Linked DNA regions of Macaca fascicularis. The protein of the gene in region 1 interacts with the protein of each later gene in a biochemical or structural test. Links are inferred from orthologs where the notes say so. Each region holds a gene or a part of one and is shown in the gene's direction. Other genes may lie near its edges.

Evidence for each region.
Region 2: the proteins of UBE2K (region 1) and RLIM form a complex in vitro, tested with the Homo sapiens proteins (2 studies listed by BioGRID). The link is inferred for Macaca fascicularis from reciprocal best matches to the Homo sapiens genes UBE2K and RLIM.

What each region holds. Positions count from the first base shown.
Region 1 is NC_088379.1:38,996,982-39,004,767, forward strand, and holds the start of UBE2K (ubiquitin-conjugating enzyme E2 K), read left to right. Parts: upstream 1-3,642; 5' UTR 3,643-3,657; coding exon 3,658-3,731; intron 3,732-7,786. UniProt on the Homo sapiens protein: Accepts ubiquitin from the E1 complex and catalyzes its covalent attachment to other proteins. In vitro, in the presence or in the absence of BRCA1-BARD1 E3 ubiquitin-protein ligase complex, catalyzes the synthesis of 'Lys-48'-linked polyubiquitin chains.
Region 2 is NC_088395.1:81,485,955-81,493,092, reverse strand, and holds part of RLIM (E3 ubiquitin-protein ligase RLIM), read left to right. Parts: intron 1-1,363; coding exon 1,364-1,447; intron 1,448-2,684; coding exon 2,685-4,306; 3' UTR 4,307-7,138. UniProt on the Homo sapiens protein: E3 ubiquitin-protein ligase.

The sequences.
Region 1 (7,786 bases):
GTCACCCAAGCTGGAGCGCAGTGGCAGGATCTCAACTCACTGCAACCTCCACCTCCTGGGTGCAAGCCATTCTCCTGCCTCAGTCTCCCGAGTAGCTTGGATTACAGGCGCCCACCACCATGCCCTGTTAATTTTTTTATTTTTAGTAGAGACAGGGTTTCACCATGTTGGCCAGGCTGCTCTGACAAAACTCTTAATAGAGTATTTATGGGCCAGGTGGGGTGGCTTATGCCTGTAATCCAACATTTTAGGAGGCTGAGGCTCGATTGAGGCCAGGAGTTCAAGACCAGCCTGGGCAACATAGTGAGACTTTTGTTACTACTAACATTTTTAAAAAATCAGCCAGGCCTGGTGGTATGTGCCCATAGTGGCAGCTACTTGGGAGGCTGAGGCTGGAGGATGCTTGAGCCCATGAGGTCAAAGCTGCAGTGAATTGTGATCATGTGACCGCACTCTAGCCTGGGCAGCAGCGAGACTCTGTCTCAAAAATGAAAAAAGAAAATAATTCCTGGCTATTTGTTAATTATATAAGAACAACACAGCCAGGCGCAGTGGCTCACGCCTATAATCCCAGCACTTTGGGAGGCCGAGGCAGGTGGATCACGAGGTCAGGAGAGCGAGACCATCCTGGCCGACATGATGAAACCCCGTCTCTACTGAAAATACAAAAATTAGCTGGGCATGGTGGCATGGGCCTGTAGTCCCAGCTACTCAGGAGGCTGAGGAAGGAGAATTGCTTGAACCGGGGAGGTGGAGGTTGCAGTGAGCTGAGATGGCACCACTGCACTCCAACCTCGCAACAGAGCAAGGCTCTGTCTCCAAAAAAAAGAGAATACTTTGAGACTTAACTAACTGTATCAGATGTGTAAGATAATTTATCTAAAGAATAAATGGACCCGGACAGTAAAGACACAAAAAATATATACTGGCTTTGAATGTTTTATTTTTAAAACTTTTAAGTTTGTTCCCCCTTTTTGATGTTTTTCTGTTAAAATTTCTCCCTTTTGATTTTAATAAAAAGATAAAATTCTCTACCAAAAATAAATGTAACGAGAATTTGAACAGTTGTTTAAAACTAGAGGCAGGCTTGGTGGCTCACATCTGTAATGGCAGCACTTTGGGAGACTGAGGCAGGAGAATCGTTTGAGTCTGGGAGGTCAAGGCTGCAGTGAGCGGTGATTGTGCCACTGTACTCCAGCCTGGGTGACGGAGCAACACACTGTCTCCAAATAAAGAGTAGAAAAGTGGTTTTTAAAGTTTTTATTTTCATTTTATTTTTCAAAAGTGTTTTTGAAAGTTACGCAAGTTACAGTTTTATGTAATATTTAAATAGTATTTTTTATGGGTTCTGAAATGGGTTGAGCAGGGAAAGTCTATAGATTGGATTTTTAAAAAAATCAAAGTCTGTGCAGGTAATATGTTTGGGGTGAATTCCTTGTTTACACTGTTACAAAGACTTTGAGCTCTGTCCATTGGGCGTAGGTTTAGACACATCTGGGCTCCCCTAGCTTCTTCCCTTTTTATTTGTGTGTTTTGTTTGTTTGTTTGTTTATTTGTTTTGAGACAGAGTCTCACTGTCACCAAAGCTAGAATGCAGTGGCGTGATCACAGCTCACTGCAGCCTCTAACTCCCCAGGCTTAGGTGATCCTCCTACCTCAGCCTTCCAAGTAGCAGGGACTAAAGGCATCTGCCACCATGCCCAGCTAATTTTTGTAATTTTTTGTGGAGTCAAGGTTTCACCATGTTGCCCAGGCCGGTCTCGAACTCCTGGGCTCAAGTGATCCTCCCGCCTTGGCCACCTAAAATGCCGGAATTGCAGACGTGAGCCACTATGCTTGGCCTGTCATCCCTTCTTAAAAACTATACACTTTTTTTTTTTTTTTTTTGAGACAGAGTCTCGCTCTGTCGCCCAGGCTGGAGTGCAGTGGCCGGATCTCAGCCCACTGCAAGCTCCGCCTCCCGGGTTTACGCCATTCTCCTGCCTCAGCCTCCCAAGTAGCTGGGACTACAGGCGCCCGCCCCCTCGCCCGGCTAGTTTTTTGTATTTTTAGTAGAGACGGGGTTTCACCATGTTAGCCAGGATGGTCTCGATCTCCTGACCTTGTGATCCGCCCGTCTCGGCCTCCCGAAGTGCTGGGATTACAGGCTTGAGCCACCGCGCCCGGCCCACTTTTTTTTTTTTTTTTGAGACGGAGTCTCCGTCTGTCGCCCATGCTGGAGTACAATGGCGCAATCTTGGCTCGCTGCAACCTCTGCCTCCCGGGTTCAAGCAGTTCTCCTGTCTCAGCCTCCTGAGTAGCTGGGATTACAGGCATGTGCCACCATGCCTGAGGGTTTTTTGTTTTTTTTTTTTGGTATTTTTTGTATTTTTAGTAGAGACGGGTTTCACTATATTAGCCAGGCTGGTCTCGAACTCCTGACCTTGTGATTTTGCCGCCTTGGCCTCCCAAAGTGTTGGGATTACAGGCGTGAGCCACTGCACCTGGGCTTTTTTTTTTTTTTTTTTTTTTTTTTTTTTTTGAGACAGAGTCTCGCTCTGTCGTCCAGGCTGGAGTATGGTGGCACAATCTCAGCTCACCATGGTCTCTGCCTCCCGGGTTCAAGTGACCCTCGTGCCTCAGCCTCCTGAGTAGCTGGTATTACAGGTGCACCCTACCACGCCCAGTTAATGTTTTGTATTGTTAGTAGAGACAGGGTTTTACCATGTTGGCCAGGCTGGTCTTGAACCCCTGACCTCAAGTGATCCAACTGCCTCGGCCTCCCAAAGTGCTGGGATTACAGGCATGAGCCACCACTGCCCAGCCAAGACTATATACTCTTATTTCCCAGTGAATACATTATTGACAGTTTTTGAAAATACTGACTGTAGCCCCAAAAAGCTTAACTGGTTGGAGATACAGGGCAGACAAAGGATAGATAAAAATGGTAGGGGCAAAGAGTAAATGCTATGGGATTCTAAGGGTATCTGTATGAGTGAGATTCCTTTTTGTTGTTGTTTTGTTTTTGAGAAGGAGTCTCGGCTCTGTCACCCAGCCTGGAGTGCAGTGGCTTGATCTTGCTCACTGCAACCTTCGCCTCCCAGGTTCAACCAATGCCTCAGCCTCCGGAATGGCTGGAATCCCGGGATTACAGGCATGCGCCACCCTGCCCAGCTAATTTTTTTTTTTTTTTTTTTTTTTTTTTTGAGACAGAGTCTCGCTCTGTTGCTCAGGCTGGAGTGCAGTGGTGCGCAATCTCAGCTCACTGCAGGCTCCGCCTTCCGGGTTCACGCCATTCTCCTGCCTCAGCCTCCCGAGTAGCTGGGACTACAGGCACCCGCCACCAGGCCCGGCTAATTTGTTGTATTTTTTTAGTAGAGATGGGGTTTCACCATGTTGGCCAGGATGGTCTCGGTCTCCTGACCTCGTGATCAGCCTGCTTTGGCCTCCCAAAGTGCTGAGATTACAGGTGTGAGCCACCGCGCCCGGGCACTACACCCTGCTAATTTTTGTAGTTTTAATAGAGGCAGGGTTTCACTATATTGGCCAGGCTGGTCTCAAACTCCTGACCTCAGATGATCTGCCTGCCTCGGCCTCCCAAAGTGCTGGGCTTACATGGTGAGCCACCATGCCTGGCATGCCTGGACTTTTTTTTTTTTTTTTTTTTTTTTTTTTCAGATGGAATCTCGCTCTGTCACCCTGGCTGGAGTCCAGTTGCATGATCCAAGCTCTCTGCAGCCTCCGCCTCCCAGGTTAAGTGGTTCTCCTGCCTCAGCCTCCCAAGTAGCTGGGACTACAGGCGCACCCCACCATGCCCAACTAATTTTTTATATTGTTAGTAGAGACAGGGTTTTATGATGTCGGCCAGGCTGGTCTCAAACTCCTGACCTCAAGTGATCCACCTGCCTCGCTCTTCCAAAGTGATGAGATTACAAGTGTGAGCCACCATGCCCAGCCAAGACTATGTACTCTTATTTCCCAGTGAATACATTATTGATAGTTACTGAACATGTTGACCACAGCCCCAAAAGGCTTACTGGTTGGAGATACAGGACAGACAAAGGATAGATAAAAATGGGAGGGGCAAAGAGTAAATGCTATGGGATTCTGAGGGTATTTGAATGAGGGAGGTTCTTTTTTGTTTTTGTTTTGTTTTGAGTCAGAGTCTCTGTCGCCCAGCCTGGAGTACAGTGGCTTGATCTTGGCTCACTGCAACCTCCACCTCCTGGCTTCAAGTGATTCTCAGGCCTCAGCCTCCGGAATGGCTGGAATCACAGGCATGCGCCACCACACCTGGCTAATTTTTTGTATTTTTAGTAGAGACTGGATTTCACCATGTGGCCAGGCTGGTCTCACACTCCTGACCTCAAGTGATCTGGCTGTCTTGGCCTCCCAAAGTGCTGGGCTTACACGCATGAGCCACCCGACCTGGAGTTTTTTTGTTTTGTTTTGTTTGAGATGGAAACTCACTCTCACCCAGGCTGGAGTGCGGTGGCGTGATTTTGGCTCACTGCAGCTTCTGCTTCCCAGGTCAGGTAGTTCTACTGCTTGACCCAGTAGCTGGGATTATAGGCACGTGCCACCACACCCAGCTAATTTTCCTATTTTTAGTAGAGATGGGGTTTCTAGCCAGGCTGGTCTCGAACTCCTGACCTCAGGTGATCCGCCTGCCTTGGCTTCTGAAAGTGCTGGGATTACAGGCGTGAGCCATCGTGCCCGGGCTGTATGACTGTATGAGGGGGGTTCTTGAGCTAGGTGCTTTTTGTTGTTGTTGTTGTTGTTGAGACGGGGTCTCCCTCATTCGCCCAGGAGCACAGTCATAGCTCACTGCAGCCTTGACCTCCTGGGTTCTAGCAAGCCTTCCACCTCAGCCTCCCAAGTAGCTGGGTCTACAGGTACGTGCTGCCACACCCAGCTAGTTTTTACTTTTTGTAGAGATGGGGTCTCACTATGTTGCCCAGGCTGGTCTTGAACTCCTGGCTTCACACAGTCCTTCTGCCTCAGCTTCCCAACGTTCTGGGATTATAGGCATGAGCCACCTCACCCAGCCTTCTTGAGCTGAGGAAAGTTAAGACTGACCTCAAATTTCAGGAGACAGTCCCAAAGGAATTGTGGTAATATTGCGATTCTTTTTTTTTTCCCCCCCGAGACAGAGTTTTGCTCTTGTTGCCCAGGCTGGAGTGCAATGGCGCAATCTCGGCTCATTGCAACCTCTGTCTCCTGGGTTCAAGCGATTCTCCTGCCTCAGCCTCCTGAGTAGCTGGGATTACAGGCATGCACCACCAAGCTCAGCTAATTTTGTATTTTTAGTAGAGACCGAGTTTCTCCATGGTGGTCGATCAGGCTGTTCTTGAACTCCCGAACTCAGATGATCTGCCAGCGTTGGCCTCCCAAAGTGTTGGGATTGCAGGTGTGAGCCACCACGCCTGGCTGAAATTCTTAAGTAAATAAACTTTTCTCTAGGCACATGAATTGGAACTATGGAACAAAGAGATTATTGATGCACTTATTCAAGAAACACATTTACATATGTAGAACAGAAAGGTTGCACAGCTCTTATATACTCAAACATAGTTGTAGAGTTAGATCATGTTCTTAACTTTCTTCATAGTTACCTTTTGGGGAGGAAAACCACCCTTTTTCATATTAAAGTAAAACGTGTACATAATAAAGTGTGACTGGCATCCAAATCAAGAAACAGACCCTTCCCAGTACCATAGGAATCCTCCTTCCTTTCTAGTTACTTTCCTGACTTCTAATAACAGATTAGTTTTGAGTATGTTTGAGTAAAAGAACAGATGTGAGTATATGTTACGTATTTTAAGTTGGAAAGTTTTCAAAAGATGCTGTTCAAAATCTGTTAAGAAAAATATAGTGTCTTAGAAAATGTACTAAAATGTATTGAATTTCAGTGCTGAAATAGATCTAGGCCAAACTCCTCATCTATAAAATCAGGAAACTGAGGCCCAAGGAGGTTGATTGTTCCTCAGAGAAACAGCTGGTTAATGGTTGAACCCAGGCTTTTTGCATACCAGTTTAGTCATAATAAGTAGTTGGTTTGTGGGAATATCCTTTTCATAAACGATAGTGTAAAAGCTGACTGCTAATACAACTTTACAGAAGGAGATAACAATGCAGTATTATTTAAATGTGTCTTTTCTTTTCCCCCTCTTAGTATGAGAACTTAAACTTGCCAAGGAGGTAGAGATTTTTAACTCCTGAAGCATAATTTAGTGAAGTTAGCTTAGTAATTAAGAGCATGGGCTTTATAATTAGATTTGCTTTGAGTCCTGGCTTTTCTTCTTAAAACCTGAAGTACTGGCTCTGTATCTCGATTATCTTTATCTGTAAAAACTGTGGGAAGATTAAGAGTGTCTTTACAGTGCTTAGAATAACCTTGGGACATAATTAAACAGATAGCTGTTAGATGTCAGAAGTAGCTATGTTTTCATATTCTGTTGTGCTTATTGTTCTTGAATTATAAAGGTATTGTTCAATGGTTTAGTGATTACTGGATGTAAATATGCCTCAAGAAAAGCTCAATATGAGGGCTATGGTACTTCTAATAGTGTTTCTTTGTCACCTGTGTGCAAATAATCCATGGGGCTGGTAGCCAAGTAGTCCACCCTTATCTGCAGTTTCATTCTCTGCAGTTTCAGTTACCCACTGTCAACCATCGTCCAAAAATAAGTGAGTATAGTACAATAAGGTATTTGAGAGAGCACATTCACATAATTTTTATTACAGTATATTGTTATAATTACTCTATTCTATTATTGTTAATCTCTTACTGTGTTTAATTTATAAATTAAACCTTATCATAGGTATGTACATATAGGAAAAAACGTATAGGGTCAGTACTATCCGTGGTTTCAAGCATCCAATAGGGATCTTGGAGTGTGTCCCCTGTGGATAAGAGGGGATATATTAATACAGAGGAATATATGTGGGCTCTGTTCTCCAGATGTGATTTATTTAATCTTTCTTTAGGAGACAGTTATAAATTGGAGAAAAGTTTGTGTTAAAATGTTACCTTCCTGAATGAAAAAGTTTATTTGGGAAACTCTCAAATGATATAGAGATAATGGGATTATTTTGGATTTCTTGACATGGCTCTGGTTTCCTGAAACTAGAGCAAAGAATCTAGATTCTAATCCTATGGTATATAATCTTGGATCCCTTTGCAAATCTCTTCTTCAGTGGGCTTTGGGAACCAGAAAATAAGTGGTCTCATTCATCTGACATCCATGTTATTCTCTTATGTAAATCTGAAAAGGTGGGAGAACTTTATTTCACTGAAAATGCTTTTTAAAAAATTTTTTATTTTTTTAAGGCTAGTCCAACGAAGCAGTGGAAATGGAAAAGGAAAAAAGTCTGTAACTGGTTATGATCAATTAATTGTTAACACCACTGAAAAACCCTTTTTTCCTTTCTCTTCCCTTTAGTTCTTTGCTTTTACTCCAAATTTAGAATAACTGCCTACAGTTGAATGCCTACTGTCTGATTGATTGATTGATTTTAAGACACAAGGTCTTGCTCTGTTGCCCAAGTTGGAGTGCAGTGGCAGCAAAGCAAGACCTTACAGCTCGCTGTAACCTTGAACTCCTAGACTCAAGTGATCCTCCTGCCTCAGCCTTCCTAGTAGCCACCACACTTGGCTAAATTTTCTTTTTTTAAATATTTTGTGGAGTTGAGGGTCTCACTATATTGCCCAAGCCAGTGTCAGACTCCTGGACTCAAGCAGTCCTCCTGCCTCAGCCTCCCAAAGTCCTGGGATTACAGGCATGAGCTACTGCACCCTGCCTGT
Region 2 (7,138 bases), on another chromosome or scaffold:
AATGACATTTATTGCTGTATTTATTACCTGATTGTATTTACTCATGTTTGGAATTATACTATATCAGAGAGATTTTTAACTTATGAATTATAATATGAATTTTTAGTGTTCTTAGTTAGCTTTATCTAATTTACTAGATAAAAATCCAAGTGTAGAATAGCTAATGGGAACTTAGGTTTTAGGAAAGACTTATTCTATTTTGTTAAATCTCTGATTTTTTGAATATGTCCCAGTTGTAATACTCCAGAGCTAGCCTTGGGTAACATAGCAATGAGAAGTTTGTGCTTGATTATCTTTTACCCCACGAAGTCCCATTTGATCCTAGTTAAAACTCAGTGTCTGTCTTCCTTCTCATTTCTGTTTAATTCTACTTACCTTTGAGTAATTGCTTAGATTTTAAAAGGTAAGGTTTTTGCATGACTTTTAAGAGAGGGAGTGTGTTTTGAGCCAACAGTACCAGGCTTGAATCAGAATGCCTTAGTTGGAGTTCTGGCCCTGCTGTTTGATGTGGCTTCTGGCAAGCCAGTCTATCACTCAGTCTGTTTCTTCATTTTAAAATGCAGATAACAATATCTTCCTCTCAAAGCTTCAATTCTTAAAAATTATTTACTTATTTACTTTTAAGACAGGGTCTCATTATGTTGCCCTGGCTGGACTCAAGGGATTCTTCTGCCTGAGTCTCCCAACCTAACAAGCTGGCACTACAGATGCAGTACCACTGTGTGCCCAGCTTAGAATTGCCTTTGCCTTTTTTTTTTTTTTTTTTTTTTTAAGCGGAGTCTTGCTCCATCGCCCAGGCTGGAGTGCAGTGGTGCAGTCCCGGCTCACTGCAACCTCTGCCTCCCAGGTTCAAGTGACCCTGCTCCTCAGTCTCCTAAGTAGCTGGGATTACAGGCGCTCACCACCACGCCTGCCTAATTTTTGTATTTTTAGTAGAGATGGGGTTTTGCCATGTTGGCCAGGCTGGTCATGAACTCCTGACCTCTGGTGATCCAGTTGCCTCGGCCTCCCAAAGTGCTGGGAGTACAGGCGTGAGCCACCATGCCTGGCCTAGAGTTGCAATTTTTAAAAGTTAGATCTTATATGCAAAAGAACTTTGTAAATTGCTTGTAATATGTTTCCAAAGAAGTGAATTTTTCCCGGGTCCTACCTACTCCTTGGTTTTTCTCTCAGAGTTGGGAACCACTGGTTTTCTTTTTTCTTTCTTTTTTTTTTTTTTTTTTTTTTTTTTACGTTTTCTCTTAACTTTTAAAAATATGATTTTTTTTCTAATCATCTTGTGTCAGATTACTATGAGTCACTGATAAAGTATTTGATTGTCATACCCCTAATGTCATTTTTGCCCTGTGGTGTTAAATTTCAGGTGAAAGTACTGAGGAAGAGTTGCTGAGAAGACTACAGCAAATTAAAGAAGGCCCACCACCGCAAAACTCAGATGAAAATAGAGGTATATTTTGGTTTTGGTGGGGAGGTGGATAGATGATAGAATGATAGGAGCTTTGTAATAGTAAATGTCAGCCAAAGATTATCCAAATTTGGCACAAATTAATTTGGTGCTAAGTAACTGCTCATAAAAAGAAAACTGACATTTTCTTAGTGAGAATGTCAGCATTTTTTTTCTATCTCACCTTTGGGATGTTTATGTTAATTGGAACACAGTGAGAAATGGCCTATTTAAATGTGATTTTGTTTGTTTTTCACCTCCATTGAAATTTATTCCTACTTAATTCCTTCTTTATAAACATGCGAGTTCTTCACCAGCAAAAAGAAATGTCTAAACCCAGTGGCTCCTAATGAGATATAATTTTGTCCCATGTGGGACATTAGCAACGTCTGGAGACATTTGTGTAGAGGGCAGGAATGCTGCCAAACATCCTGACATGCCATAATGCACAACACAGCCCCCATGACACAGAATTAACTGGCTTAAAATGTCAAGTAGTACCACTGTTGAGAAATCTTGCTCTAATCTCAGGTCTGGTGTTTCCCTCCCAGTGTCGAGTAGGGATTTTGACTGTGTAACCTTGAGAGGCTACGATAATAATTTGGTTCTTGAGCATGCCAGTGTATGTGCTATGCAAGGTTCAGACTACTTATTTGATCTGATCTTTAATTTCATGTCCATTGAAAACCTTGGTAACTTTAAGAAATATGCAAATGCTTTTAAACCTATAAATCTTGTTTGTATTTTTCTTATGGCTACAATAAGTAGTCTTGTATTTTAAAACAACCTCAAATGTTATCGAAGGCACAGTATGTAGACTAATAAAAATTTGACAGAAATGTAGCTTGAACTAAATGTGACTATTCTTTAAACACTGTCTCCTTACCTAGTCTGATTACATTAGTGTTTTGGCAGAGGACTGAAAAAATGTCTTCTGGCCATCCCACAGTGGTATGCTTGGCCTTTATATGATAAAATACTAGAAACAGACTTCCTCTAGATTCCCTTTAAAAATCAAATAATTCTCTAAATTTCTCTAATATAGATTGCTCTTTTCAAATGGAATTAGAATTTTCTTGCCTTATAAGTTTATGCAGTGTAGTTTGTAAAAATCTGTAATTATGAAATGTGTTCCGAATCTTTAAATTCTTTAATGCAGAGTTTTAGAGCACTTATTATATGATTGTCCTCATTTTAGTAGTTCCTTTTTCTCCCTCTCCCCCTCCTTTGTTTTGAACAGGAGGAGACTCTTCAGATGATGTGTCTAATGGTGACTCTATAATAGACTGGCTAAACTCTGTCAGACAAACTGGAAATACAACAAGAAGTGGACAAAGAGGAAACCAATCTTGGAGAGCGGTGAGCCGGACTAATCCAAACAGTGGTGATTTCAGATTCAGTTTAGAGATAAATGTTAATCGTAATAATGGGAGCCAAAATTCAGAGAATGAAAATGAGCCATCTGCAAGACGTTCTAGTGGAGAAAATGTGGAAAACAACAGCCAAAGGCAAGTGGAAAACCCACGATCTGAATCAACATCTGCAAGGCCATCTAGATCAGAACGAAATTCAACTGAAGCATTAACAGAGGTCCCACCTACCAGAGGTCAGAGGAGGGCAAGAAGCAGGAGCCCAGACCATCGGAGAACCAGAGCAAGAGCTGAGAGAAGTAGGTCACCTCTGCATCCAATGAGTGAAATTCCACGAAGATCTCATCATAGTATCTCATCTCAGACTTTTGAACATCCTTTGGTAAATGAGACGGAGGGAAGTTCTAGAACCCGGCACCATGTGACATTGAGACAGCAAATATCTGGGCCTGAGTTGCTAAGTAGAGGTCTTTTTGCAGCTTCTGGAACAAGAAATGCCTCTCAAGGAGCAGGTTCTTCGGACACAGCTGCCAATGGTGAATCTACAGGATCAGGACAGAGACCTCCAACCATAGTCCTTGATCTTCAAGTAAGAAGAGTTCGTCCTGGAGAATATCGGCAGAGAGATAGCATAGCCAGCAGAACTCGATCTAGGTCTCAGACGCCAAACAACACTGTCACCTATGAAAGTGAACGAGGAGGTTTTAGGCGTACGTTTTCACGTTCTGAGCGGGCAGGTGTGAGAACCTATGTCAGTACCATCAGAATTCCCATTCGTAGAATCTTAAATACTGGTTTAAGTGAGACTACATCTGTTGCAATTCAGACCATGTTAAGGCAGATAATGACAGGTTTTGGTGAGTTAAGCTATTTTATGTACAGTGATAGCGACTCAGAGCCTACTGGCTCAGTCCCCAATCGAAATATGGAAAGGGCAGAGTCACGGAGTGGAAGAGGGGGTTCTGGTGGTGGTAGTAGTTCTGGTTCCAGTTCGAGCTCCAGTTCGAGTTCCAGTTCGAGTTCCAGTTCGAGTTCCAGTTCCAGTCCTAGTTCCAGTTCCGGTGGTGAAAGTTCAGAAGCTAGCTCAGATTTATTTGAAGGCAGTAATGAAGGAAGCTCATCATCAGGCTCATCAGGTGCCAGGCGAGAGGGTCGACATAGGGCCCCAGTCACATTTGATGAAAGTGGCTCTTTGCCCTTCCTTAGCCTGGCTCAGTTTTTCCTCTTAAATGAGGATGATGATGACCAGCCTAGAGGACTCACCAAAGAACAGATTGACAACTTGGCAATGAGAAGTTTTGGTGAAAATGATGCATTAAAAACCTGTAGTGTTTGCATTACAGAATATACAGAAGGCAACAAACTTCGTAAACTACCTTGTTCCCATGAGTACCATGTCCACTGCATCGATCGCTGGTTATCTGAGAATTCTACCTGTCCTATTTGTCGCAGAGCAGTCTTAGCTTCTGGGAACAGAGAAAGTGTTGTGTAATTAAGATCTGAACTCTCAGCTATGTAGCTGATATAGTGATGGGCAAATAGGAATCACTTGCTTTTATGTCCACTTTTTGAGTGGTACTTAAATGTAAAGTAACAACCTGAATTGAGTCATTGCTTTCTGAAGGAATCATTGTCCTTTCTCCAGTTTTTGTTCCAGAATAAAAGGAAGTATTTTAAAAGTCACGTTTTAGGACCTAAAAATCTGATTTCTGTACCAGTTAAATTGGTAGCATCACTGTTACTGTTAATTTATCATATACACTCGTTAATTTTTCCTTTGTTATCTTAAAAGATCTGCCTTAGCAATGGCTCCTGTTTCATGTTGATCTTTAAATTTTCCCACGCCATAAGAGAGAGGAGCGAAGGAAATTACCAGTTTAGACTAAGTTACAGTATGTGTTTCATAAGTGATTAAAGCTATACCATTCCTAGTTATTAGTTGACACAAATTCAGCCACATTCTGAATATTGTTTGTTCACCTTTCAGACTTGGTGATACTGGACATGTCAGTGTAAATAACACTAAGGTTAGGATCTTCTAAGTGTACAACTGTCTCCTAAGCCCATCACTGTGGCACACTGTAGAGTGAGCTTATAGTTTAATTGAGATATTTATCTTGTGGAAATATTAAAAAGCCTATGCTTGTGTAAGTGAAAAAAAAATCACATTCATTTGTTTAAAAATGTAAAGCTATTTTGTAGAGGCTCAGTACTTTTCCAATGCACTGTTGTATGAATGCATTAAAAATTGTAAAGTACCATGCTTAGAACTGAGAAAACTGCTTTTTGTGAGCCAACATAGTAACAAACACACCAAACAAAGTACAAAGCTGCTTTTGTAAGTGTGTAGATGTCAAGAGCAGAACATATCTATAATATTTAATGTATGTGAACAGCTACTGTGACATGCAAAGGAAAGGACAGTGCAGAATCAAACTGTGTTGAAGACCAGTGGAAATCGTATAATTTAACTTGGATTTAGGCAGGAAGTGAAAGATGGGAGGAATAAAGAAAACGGCTCTGGAGGATTTAAAAGTTTTCCTGAAGACGGTAATAATGCAGACACAAACTGGTTTCATATGGTGAGAGCAGCCGCAGCAGCAGCTTGACCTGGTATTCTACCTGAGTAGACGAAGCAGAAGATCAGCAAATTTGGCAGAGTTCTGGTTTAAGAAAAACAAACCACTACCACCTAGCACAAGTTAAATTGATGTTTTTACAAGTCTGCTCCTCAAAAATGAAAAGATGGAGGAAAGAGACTATAAAACCACTTGTAGCATATGAAATGCAGTTGGTACACATGTGTGTGTTAATAGGAAAGTCTTGAATTTGTGTTATTTTTGAGATTTGTCATTTAAGGTACCATTGCACACTTGATAATATTTCATTACTATCTCTTAACACAGACCTAACATCTCGAATTTAAAGACCAGTTGAAGATTAAGGGATTTTTATCCTTTGTTGAAAGTGAGTCATGTTGGGTTATTTGAAATTCAAGTTTTAATTGTGCTGCCCATATATGAAAATGAGACTGCTGACTCACTATCTATGGACATGCACTTTATGTTGGTTTCTTAGTAGTAGGAGTAACTTCATGATAACCCCAGTCCTCTTGCCTAGTTTCTTTTTTGAGGCTAGCTGGGGTTAGGATTAGAATGACTATGGAGCAGGTATTTATTCTTCTGGGAAAAGCTTTAACAGGCCAAAATAGGGATTGAACTTGTCCTTGGCCTTTATCAAAGCAAGCTAGCTACCCAGACATAGTCAGATACTCTACAAAATAAACAAGTCTGCTTTAGGAATTGTCTGGCTACCTTCACTGTTATCAACTTAGCTGTAAAGATTATTTCAAAGCTCACTCTTTCATGATTTCTTCTGGCTTTCAATCCTACCTAAGTATCAAGGAAATTAACTTGTAAATATGGTAGTTGTTTACTAAGGATATGTACTGCTCTTGCAAGGAAATAATGTCCAAACAAAGCTTCACTTATTTTTTTTATAAGCAGATTTCACTGTTTATGGCGCTTATGTAATACATTTTATCTTTTTAAAAATGTGTCCGTGTAAAGTCAGGATTCCTTTATATTTGTGAGCCTCCTTTTCTCCTTTCCTAAGGATGTAATCTACAGTTTTCAGATCTGCAGGGTAGTCTTGATTGGCTAAAAACAAATCAGTTTTCTTCTTGGCATAAAGTGTTTCATTATTATAGGGGCGTTCATTTTAAATAGTTTAAAAACAATTGCAGCACATTCTAAGCATAAGAGAAAGTTATTGACAACAGATACCTTCCTAACCTCCCAAGATGTACAACTGATTTGTGAAGTATTAAAGTAAGAGGTAACTCAAGCAGAATGCTGGCTATGAATGTAGATATTGAAGCTATTCATAAACACTGGAAATAGAATTTTAAGCTTGTAGCCTTCAGTGGAATGCACACATTGGACATGTGCATGTGAACACCTTTTTCAATAGCACTCACGGATTTCCATTCGATTGTATAGAATGAATACAAGTATTTTAGTGGAATTTGCTACTTAATTTTTTAATCTTGCGATGTCCATGATTATTACATGCTTACTGGTGTTGTGGACATTGAAGACAAGGTCATTCGTAGGTGTCAGATTACGGTGGAGAACAAAAATCGTTTTCCCCCCACCAACATCCAATCACCATTCTCGAGGGAACATTTCTTGCAGAACACCTTATATTTCATTTTCTGTCTTTGCACTTTTTCTTAAGTACAGAAATGTTGTCTTTAAGACCTAGTTTGAACTTCATGCAGTAAGAGGAACAAGGATAAACAATGTTGGGAGTTCACATTGTT